Xenopus tropicalis: one gene and its partners. The protein of the gene in region 3 interacts with the protein of the main gene of each other region in a pairwise test. Links are inferred from orthologs where the notes say so. Each region holds a gene or a part of one and is shown on either strand. Other genes may lie near its edges.

Region 1 (3,656 bases), on a different chromosome or scaffold from region 3:
AGATTTATGGAAATTCCTTGCAATATTTGTTGGTTAAAATTGGTGCAACAGTTGGTGTGTCTTAACTCGTTCACCATTATATAATTTGTTGCTTGAAATTCTTTAGCATGACAACGGTCAAACAAGGTTTTCTTGCATTGCACACGGTTCTTTTAGACTTTAGAGATAAAACAACGTAAGAAATCTCAATGGCTCATGAGAATTCTCTAATAAATGGAGAGACAGAAAGATTTCCATTTGAAGAGACAAAATCTGCCTATTAGTTTGAATGGACCTAAGCACATTTTAGCTGCTACATTTTTTTCATTGCAAATATGCCACCAAGACATTGTATGAAAAATTGTTGAACAGGAAAAAAAATGTAATCTGCAAGAAGAAAAAAGAAAAAAAATTTCTTCGAACACAATTTTCATCCCAGCCTTTGATAAATTGACCTTGTAGAGGAGCTTTGCAATTATTAATGTAGTATAAAGTCAGAAGGAGTATGCAAGTGCTTTAAATGGCAATATAATGCCAAACAATGCAAAATAATGCACTCGAGGAAGAACCAGCACCAGGCTGTAAGTTTCTAATCCAAATTACTGTGTTTTCTTTAGATTTGTGTAACATAAATACAAATCTATGGAGACTTAAAGGTAACCAAGTTTTGACATTCAAGGGGATCTAAACCCAAAAAATGAATTATAACACTTCTGTGAGAACCTTTGCAAGTTACATTCATCTTCTATTTTAGGAGTTTCTGAGATATTTGCATTTTTATACTTTTCATACCAGTCTATTGGCTTAACTGTGTTTACACCACTTTATTTTCTTAGGTTTAGATCCCCTTTAAGGTGCAGATGAAAAGGGGTTAGTATAATAGTGGCCATAAAAACATATGCCCAAAATACATAAAGACCAGATATCATGTATTTGGCTGCATCCTGCTTCATGCCTGTCATATAGACATTGATAAGTAGCTACCACTAGAGCACTAGGATCAGTTGCTTTTCTTTTGTAACATTTTTCAGGTTGTCCTTGCACTCCCATATGATACACCAGTTCCAGGATACAAAAACAATACAGTGAACACCATGAGACTTTGGTCAGCAAAAGCTCCCAATGAGTTCAACTTGAAAGACTGTAAGTGGAGGAACCAATATCTATGCTTTAACACATCCCCTCTATAATATTTGCTTGCTATGTTATACTTTTGTACCTTTATATTTTTTACTGTTTCATCATTTTAAATCAATAAATATACTGTATGCCTAGAATTCAATATAAATTCAGGTGTTTCTGACTATTTAACCTTTTCTTTGGTTTATATCAAAAAGTAGATGCTTCTATTTGTAAAAGCCCAATGGGGAGGTTGATTTACCAATTTCTAAGGTTGAGAAAACAAACCTTTGAAAATAAACCTGAGAAAACCCACACAATCTTTTTTAAGCAATGCCTTCTTCCCCTTGAGTAGTAGCTTATTTTAAAAAAAGACTCAAGAAAAGTAAGTGTAAAAAAATAGCATACAAGTAAAAATCACAATGTTCCATTTATTTTCAATATGCCTAAAAATCCTGAATGTTTTAATAAACTAAAGTTTAATAAAGTTGTTTGTTTACTTCTGTAGAAAATAGACAAATTTTACTTACATAGTTACATAGTTATACTGGGTTGAAAAAAGACCAGAGTCCATCAAGTTCTACCCTTCCAAGTAAACCCAGCACACACAACCTATAATTACCTATCTATACACTCACATACATAAACTATATATACAACCACTAATACTAACTGTAGATATTAGTATCACAATAGCCTTGGATATTCTGATTGTTCAAGAACTCATCCAGGCCCCTCTTAAAGGCATTAACAGAATTTGCCATCACCACATCACTAGGAAGGGCATTCCACAACCTCACTGCCCTCACCGTGAAAAACCACCTACGCTGCTTCAAATGGAAGCTCTTCAAATGACCTCTTGTGCGTTGATCGTTTTTAAGGGAAAAAAAACACCCCCCATCTGCCTATATTCCCCTCTAATGTGCTTGTACAGAGTAATCATGTAAACTTGCCAGGTTTTTTCATGAAAATTACTGTGTTTGTTTCTCTGATTCTCTGTGACTATTTGAGGTTTCACAAATGATTATCTCATATATTAATGAATTAAGGAAAAAACTCAAACTTGAATTTAAAAAAAAAAATTATGTTTTTTACATGGGCAACATTTTTATTTTTTTCCTTACTCCAAATGCATTAAAGTCAGTGGGTGTTTTTTTTGCAGCAACTTTTTGTCTCACCGAATTTTTACACGGCGAATCTTTTCTGTAGTTTCATGAAAAAATTCACCAATGGCACAATGTGGAATTTCACTGCAAATTCATTCCTGCCAAAAAAATTTGCTCATCACTAATCGCAATGTCTTGCATGCTCCTTTACAAGCCTGTTTTTATCAGATTGTAAAAAAAGATGGCAGTTTTGTTATCTGTAGTCTTCGGGCAAAGTCTTAGCAAAAAACAATTAAGTCAAAGCTCCTTACCATATGTTTATGGCTTAGGAAACGTAGAATGACTGTGGGGTGTCGAGTTTTTAGACACCCCTAGCTTGTCTTGCAAAAATGCACCAACCTGGGTACTTTTCTTATCAGCACCATAGCAATTTCTGTGCTGTCCAAGCACAGATGATACTGGGGCACTGGGAAAGTATGGCAGCACAGGGCTGAGTAGAGAAGTACCCTGGTCTGGTGCATTTTTGGAAGAAGGGGGCGCTGGCCAGGGGTCTATAGTAAGTGACTCTATGGGGGGGGGGGGTTGTCAAGATCACTACAGAATGTCACACGTGGCAACCTTTTAGTAATTCTATATCAAAAAATTTGAAAATGGCAAATTTGAAACCATTAGACATCTTTCCATTAATTGACGGGAGACGGGCTTTCTGTAATTCAGAGCTTTCTGGATAACAGGTTTCCGGATAAGGGATCCCATACCTGTATATTTTTATAGAGACCTATATTGTTTGGGGGTATAGTTTTCCTTTAAGGACCTTTAGAAAAGCATTTCTGAATAGCGTACATAAGTAGCGCTTTATAAATAAAAATATACATACATACATACAATAGTAGTGAATAGCAGTGATGAGCGATTTTTTTTCGGCAGGCATGGATTCGCAGCGAATTACCGCATTTCGCCATTGGCGAATCATTTAGCGGACCGTGAAAATTTGCTGCGGAAAAATTCACTGCACATAAAAAAAATTTGTCACGTGTCAAATTGGGCACGGTCATTTCAAAATTGGTTGTGGGCGCGTTGAAAATCGTGCGACAAATGTATTCCGCAAATTTTCTGCCGTTTTGCGATTTTTATGGTTAAGCAAAACGGGACAGATTCGTTCATCACAAGTGAATAGAAATTTCTGAGCATATCCATAATGTCTAAAGATTGCCTTATTTCTGCTTCTTTCAGTTAACGTGGGTGGTTACATCCAAGCAGTTTTGGACCGTAATCTTGCTGAGAACATTTCTCGAGTTCTATATCCCAATGATAATGTAAGTGGTTTATTATAATTGTTCTTAATATGGAACTTTACCTATCCATTTAAAATATTTGTTTGTATAACTATTTCTACCACTAGTAGGCATCATATTTAATATGCAGTGGAGTCTTGGGCTTCAGGGCAGGGGA
Region 2 (3,656 bases), on a different chromosome or scaffold from region 3:
CCCACAGTAAGGACCAAGCATTTGGGATTTTGCTGTGCTACCACCATTGTGATAAAATAGGTGTGGTTTGAAGTGGGTGTGGTTTCAAAAAGGGGGGTGGTCAAAACTGGCTTCCATTAGCGGCCCTCTACCATGTATGCTAGAGAAATTCCGGCCCTCGGCACTGTAGAAGTTGGACAGCACTGACCTGAATAATGGACTTCTGTTTATCTGTGATCTAGAAAGTCACACCAAAGGTTACCCCTTTGTTGTTACTGTTTTGGTTTACAGATAAACAGAAGTGTGAGGGTTTACTTAAGCAGAACTCCTTATGAAGCTCTAATTAAACTAATTCAACAAAAAATGCATAAAAAGTATAGGCAGAATGTATTCTCATCTTAATCTGTTTATTTTTGCACGTGGTTAAAAGAGGCAAATATAGGTGTATGCTGCCCCTTTAATAAAATTATTTTGTGTCCCTTATAGTTTACTGGTTCCTAAACCTTCAATATTTATAATTCAGTAGTGTAAACTTAAGTATGAGCTATTGACTGTGAATAAGACTCGCTGTCACAGGAAGTGTTTCATTTATCATGGTTCCCTGACAACACGTGCAAAGGTTGCAGGGGGTTTCAACAAAACCAGTGTCCTACGAGGTGGAGAGGTGAGAGGTTAACCATGATAGGGTATTTTGTTACTTTAGTGTAATGTGAATAGCAAGGATGGAAAAGTGTTGCTTTGAAATAATCCACCTTTAGTCTTCTGAATGTAATTTAGTAGTAGGACACGGAGCTTTCTGTTTAACGAGCAGCCATAAGATGCTCGGATCATTTGCTATCCTGAGGATAAACTTCAAAGCAGAGGTGCGCTCAATGAATTCATGTTTGCTGAGCATCAAAGGAATTTTTATCTTTTTACTTGAAGAAAAACACAGAGTTATGTGATTCACTTAGGGGTGGCCTGGAGTAGAATAAAAGGGATCAGTTCTGGGGCACAACACAACAATATGATGTATACATGGTGCCTTGCAAATCTGTGTAAACCGTTGAACAATGTTCTCATTTTACTGAATAATAAATCCTACACTGAAGTTTTGTTCTGACATATTTCTCATCTTGTGCTCATCTGACCAAAAACATATTTTCTCACATTGCATCTGGACGATTGTGCTTTTTGCCAAACTCCAGATGTACTTTCACTTTGTTCTTAAATAGAGTAATGGCTTCTTTATGCCACACTCCCATAAAGTTAACATAGTGCGCCTCACTTCACATCTCCGCTACTGAAATATTTAGCTCCTTTAAGTAATTGTCCTCTCTGTGTTTTTTCTCACAAGTCTTCCCCTTATCTGAGCAGAGATAGGTCACATCTGATTCCATGTCCTCACTGTAGATTCCACGAGATCCCAACCATCTATGGTTGCCACCTGTCCGGTTTCTAAACTACCTTTCTGGGTTTTAGAGGTCTAAAACCTAGCTCTGTGACTGATGCAGTATTCAGCCAATTAGTGGCAGCTGCATCATACTTCCCCTTGATGTCATCTAATGTCATCATCTCTGTCCCAATATCTGGCCTTTGCAAAGAAGAAAGGTACACTCAATCAGATGCCTGAAAAATAAGGCAAATGTCACGTGTATGGACAGCTTTAGTGTTCCAGCTTGTTTTATGTCCTTTAATTCAGAGCATAGTAATGATTGTTGTAAAATATGTGAAAGGATAGGATATGGGGTAGGTCTGTCTGAAATCCACTTGAATTTAGGGAACTGGTGTTTTTGCTCCTTGATGTGAATTTTTAAAACTTGGTAGAAAAAAAAAATTCAAGTGGCAAAATTAGTCAGTAAGTACATTTTTTATATTTAAATGTATGATTTCTGTTATTCATTGAGCTAAAAGAAAAAAGCTACTCCATGGTTGGTCCTTGTGAGGTAGTTAATTTGTTAAGAAGTGTACAACTAATCTCGCTGTATAAATGTACTACTGCCTGTCTATATCTGATCTAGAATGCATAATAGTGGCACACTCAAAAAATAATTCGATTTTATGTTCTAGATCAGTGATCCCCAACCAGTGACTCATGAGCAACATGTTGTTCACTACCCCCTTGGATGTTGCTCCCCATGGTCTTAAAGCCAGGTCGTCATTTTTGAATTCCTGGCATGGAGGCAAATTTTGATTGCATTAAAACCCAGTATAATGCCAAACACAGCCTTCTGTAGGCTGCCAGTTCACTTAGGGGCTGTTAAATAGCCAATTATAGCTCCTATCGGCACCCCCAGGAACTATTTTCATGCTTGTGTTGCTCACCAACGCTTGAATGTAGCTCACGGGTATAAAAGGTTTGGAATCTCTGTTCTAGAGCTTCTGCAGCAGGAACAAATCTGTAGATAATGTGTGATACAATGCATCTCTTGTTATAAATATTGACTTAATAAATGATATTCAAAATCACATTAATATATTAAATTCTGAAATACAGTGGGATTAGAATTTCACTATATTGGCACATGGTTCTGTATTTCTAATACCTGTATGTTTTGTAGTTATATTGCTCTTGTTAAAAGGCAAACATTTGTTTTACAGCTCGAAGAATATTACAGACTGAGAAGTCTTTCTTTTGGTCCCCAGATACCCTCATGAACAGAAACACATCAAGCCGGTGGTCTGCGACAGCAGAAAAAGAGCAGAAATAGGTAAAAAAAAATAATCAATGTGTAAATACAGCAGAGATGGAAATTTGGTCTAATCTTAGGGCAGGGGTACACGGGGAGATTAGTCGCGCAGCTACAAATCTCTGTTGTCACGGGCGACTAATCTCCCTGCAATGCCATCCCACTGGCTAGAATGTAAATCGCCGGTGGTATGGCATATGCGGCGCCGTGATTTGCCGAAGTTGCCTTGAGAGGAAGCTTAGGGCAAATTGCGGCCCCGTGTATGCCATCCCACCGGTGATTTACATTCTACCTGGTGGGATGGCATTGCGGGGAGATTAGTCACCCGCGGCAACTAATGCAATCTTCCTCTTAATACTACTTTACTTTATATCACCCCTATTTAACTGGCTACTAAATTTTCTTGTAAAATTTACATTCAATGGGGTAAATTAAACAGTACCTTCTTTATAATGGAAGTTTAAAGCAGGCAGTAGACCATGCAGTAGCTTTCATGCAATAAACTACTATTAATTTGTTTTAGGTCATTTGGTTTTCAGCCTGAGGTGCCAACATTGGAGATGAGGACTTCAGAAGAGCAAGCAGCCACCACAGTTTTGCAGCGATTGCTGCAGGAGCAGCTGCGTTACGGGAATCCTAATGAGAACCGCAACTTATTGGCATTGCACCAACAAGCCACAGGGAACGTGCCTTTATATGGTGGTGGTCAAGGTTCCCAAAATGAGGGCCTGACCTCACAAGACCCCCAGTTAGTTCCACATGCAGCTCGCCAGGAGCCACAAGGGCAGGAGATCCAGGTGGAGAATCTGATGGAGAAACAGATACCACTGAGAGCTCAGAACAGTGAAGATCTTCCTACTTATGAGGAGGCCAAAGTCCAGTCTCAGTATTTTAGAGGACAGCCTCACACCAGCGTTGGAGCTGCTTTCTATGTAACTGGTGTGACAAATCAGAAAATGAGGACTGAAGGTCGTCCAACAGTTCAGAGGGTTAGTCCAGGAAAAGTCC
Region 3 (3,656 bases):
TCTGCAGCTCCAACCTGGCCCAAGGAAAGTCTCCCATAGGGCTCAATGGCACTCTGCAGCTCCAACCCGGCCCAAGGAAAGTCTCCCATAGGGCTCAATGGCACTCTGCAGCTCCAACCCGGCCCAAGGAAAGTCTCCCATAGGGCTCAATGGCACTCTGCAGCTCCAACCTGGCCCAAGGAAAGTCTCCAATAGGGCTCAATGGCACTCTGCAGCTCCAACCGGGCCCAAGGAAAGTCTCCCATAGGGCTCAATGGCACTCTGCAGCTTCAACCCGGCCCAAGGAAAGTCACGATAACAAAGCTTGAGCTTCTGAGCTTTCGTACTCGTTGTGACAATACAATTTTGTCACGCAAAGTACAAAAAAGTCGGGCAAATTAACAAAAATATTGCAGAAAATAGGCAAACGTTGTAAACTTTCGAAAAAATATGATTTTTTTTGTATTGGGACATATTTTGATAAATGTGCCCCTTAGGGTGAAGACTCATAGGGCTACTAGTAGCAGCTACTTGTCGTGGCTACTAAAATAGACAATGCCGATCATTTACTGATAATTGTCTCTACGTGTGTTTTAGCAGATGCAATTCTCATTATTGTCTATGGCAGGGGATTTTCTGGAGTTTAGTAGATGTGAAAAAGTAGCTGCTACTAGTAGCCCAGTGTGTCTTTACCCTTAGGCACTCCTCATGCAGGCCACATTTGGGGTTACCTGAATGAATGTGCCAGTTGGTTAGAGATAAGTGCTGCGCTGATGGGTGGCAGAGTCACCTTGCTGTGTACAGGTGTAGGTTCATTGAGTTCTGGTGTAGAGAGTATATGTAGTTTAGGGACATAAGAGTGTAGTGCAGCTGCCTGTTATAAGCAGCATCTATTTATGTCACCTCCTACCCCCTATGTACTAATCTTCCAAGCCTTATCAAGTTGTCTTCAGTAAGGTTTGGAGAAAGCCAGCTTGGTAGCTCATCACATATAGCATGATAGCACAGGGCGCAGTGTTATGCACTGGTAAGCTCTTTCATTTCCAATTAAACAAAATCTGTGTTGGTATGTCCTCCTTATGTTTGTGTGGGTTGCCACCATATACACAGGCTTCCCTCTTGAGCCTTAAGGTTGCCATACACTGTAAAGGTGGCCATACACACTAAGATCCGATCGCTTGACGTGGATCGGATCTTCTCCCGATATCAGGCTAATTCGGTCATTTGACCCTGGGGCCAAACGATCGAATTAAAATGATGGGTATAGGCGTCGGTCGGTTCGGGCCGCTGCGGGTCCCAATCAGACTGATTTTTAAACCTGCCCGATCGATATCTGGCTGATTTCAGGCCAGATGTCGGTCGAGCATGCCTGTCTTTAGTGCTGATAGGCTGCTGAATCGGCCCGTGTATGGCAGCCTTAAGATCTGCTCACTTGATGAGCTCACCAAGAGAGCAGATCTTTTTCCTATATGCCCACCTATGGGTGTGTGATATTGGACTAAATAAAATGGTGGGCATAGTCACTGTTGGTTCGGGGACCATATCAATGAGCCGTTGCGGTCCCCAATCTAACGTAAAAATCAAACCTGCCTGATCGAGCTCTAGCCGATTTCAGGGAGGTCCATTGTTGGTGCCTATACATGGGCAGATAAGCTGACAAAATGGTCTTAAGGACTTATATGGGCAGCTAAAATTGGCCTGTGTATGGCCACCTTTAATGCATCCACCTTTCATCAAATCCCACAATTTAACCTGCCATTGGATTGTTTCCTTTGCCTTATCTCTGTCACTCTGCTAATCCTATGAGGGGCTTAGAAACCTCCAATGATGTATATACTGTATGGTGAGTTGTATGTAGGATTTTTTAAACAGCTGTGTTGTAAACTGCCTAAACACAACACAATATTTTGTTCACTAGATTGCAAGAAAAGTCCTAATAAAACCATTTCAAAACTAAGGTTTTTTTTCCTCTCTCTCTTTAAAGTGAAGAAAATGTGTGGAAGCTATGCGAGTATATCCGAGACCAGCGACCTTGTGATCTGGATGAGTTCTCAGCTGTGTTTATATCCAATGAAAACAAGATGGTAAGATGACAGCATGGATACAGAACATATTGCTGACTGGGCATTCTGGGTTGCACTTATGTTAGTAAATTGCCCCTTGTGTTTTATGTGTGATGCACCAAGATGCTGTGTGCAAGTCCTGCCTTGGTGATGTGGAGAATCAGGGCATTGCAGAGAGGGTAAAGCCCCAATCTAAGGGTTGAGATACTGAGAGCTGCTTGGGCAACACTGATGTACTGCAAATATTCTAAATATATACACTTTAAAATATCCTTTTTCCCCCCCAAGGGTCTCACTGTGATGCTGAAGCTCCAGATTTCCGCTCCTAATACTATTCCTGGTAATGCAGTTGCACCTGAATACTAATGTACATTCGGGCCTAGTAAGCTGTTTTCCACAATATTCTGTTCCAGAGTTTGCCACATAATACATTTCCTTCTGTGTCTGTCCTGCAGTACAACATGCCTGGCTTGTATATTAGTTCTTGGGAGGCTTATGCAAGATATTATACGTATGTGCAGAAGTACAGAAACAAAGCCATAAAAAGTCAGGTTGGTGAGAATACTCTCATTGCTATGTTCTTCTTTCAGATACCCATTTGGAAGCAGAAATCTGCGAAAGGGGATGGGCCTGTAATATGGGTGAGTAATCAGCCTTTGTAGAAAATATATTTTGCCTTATCTGTATTAGCTGATGTGCACAGGTGATACACAGGAATATTACGACTTTTACAGCAGATGCTGCAGCTGCTGGAAGGTCCAGGTGTTTAGAGGACCCAATGGCCTAGAGGGCCTTAAAATTTTGCTTTGCTCCTAGAAATCTCTACAATGTTGTTATTCTTTCAGCCTCTGCTTCTTTTCATTTGTGTATAGTTCCTGTCCTGTGAAGTAGTAAAACTGTAACATTAGGCTGGTAAACCTTCTGGCTAGCAGAACTGCAGCTGCTTTAGGAGAATGCATGAGGCATCTCTCACATCACTAGGTGGATAGTAGTTAGTCCACCCATGATTGATTCAATGGGGGGAAACAAAGGTGGCATACAATTCAGTTGCAGTCTCATTTCGTTTGGTGCTAAAGGCCAATACCACACATGTTGTTTTAAACTAGGGTGACAACAGGGACATGCCTAATAAATACATGTTGCAGGGCAGCACTGATTGCATTTGATATCAACTGCAATCAGTTTGGTGCTGCTAGCTGGGTTCTTTAGACGTGGCCCTGAATTTTCAAGTGATCTGGTCACCCTACAACTCAGAACAGAATGTGGTGGTGGTCAAAATACCCTTTTAAAAGAAAGGCTACTGGCACACAAAGCTCATCCAAGGGGAACTAGTGCCAAACTATTTATTAGAGCAAAAACAGTATAGAGGCCTGGGTGTGCATGTGGTATTTTTCATTATCTAGGTGGTCAAAATACTCTTTCTCAATTGCCTCCATTTACTATTGAAAATAGTTTGCTTGGCAGAAACAGGTATTCACCCAAAACAAAAATGCTCTCCTTAGTGTTTCAGAGCTCTTCTCAATATTGTTCACCTCAGTTCTTCCCAAGAGCACCATTTTGCTCCAGGGTGTTATAGCCCTGGGGCACAGAGAGTTTAATTAATTTCCTAAAGTC

What was found.
Region 1: the proteins of wdyhv1 (region 3) and glycogen phosphorylase, muscle form interact in binary tests that used the Homo sapiens proteins (3 or more experiments, as listed by UniProt). The two-hybrid records come from large-scale screens. The link is inferred for Xenopus tropicalis from reciprocal best matches to the Homo sapiens genes NTAQ1 and PYGM.
Region 2: the proteins of wdyhv1 (region 3) and amot interact in binary tests that used the Homo sapiens proteins (3 or more experiments, as listed by UniProt). The two-hybrid records come from large-scale screens. The link is inferred for Xenopus tropicalis from reciprocal best matches to the Homo sapiens genes NTAQ1 and AMOT.

Annotation. Positions count from the first base shown.
Region 1 is NC_030680.2:40,446,563-40,450,218, forward strand, and holds part of glycogen phosphorylase, muscle form, read left to right. Parts: intron 1-1,010; coding exon 1,011-1,122; intron 1,123-3,437; coding exon 3,438-3,520; intron 3,521-3,656. UniProt on the Homo sapiens protein: Allosteric enzyme that catalyzes the rate-limiting step in glycogen catabolism, the phosphorolytic cleavage of glycogen to produce glucose-1-phosphate, and plays a central role in maintaining cellular and organismal glucose homeostasis.
Region 2 is NC_030684.2:52,180,817-52,184,472, reverse strand, and holds part of amot (angiomotin), read left to right. Parts: intron 1-2,559; 5' UTR 2,560-2,669; intron 2,670-3,171; 5' UTR 3,172-3,208; coding exon 3,209-3,656.
Region 3 is NC_030682.2:139,829,031-139,832,686, forward strand, and holds part of wdyhv1 (protein N-terminal glutamine amidohydrolase), read left to right. Parts: intron 1-1,963; coding exon 1,964-2,063; intron 2,064-2,632; coding exon 2,633-2,683; intron 2,684-3,656. UniProt on the Homo sapiens protein: Mediates the side-chain deamidation of N-terminal glutamine residues to glutamate, an important step in N-end rule pathway of protein degradation.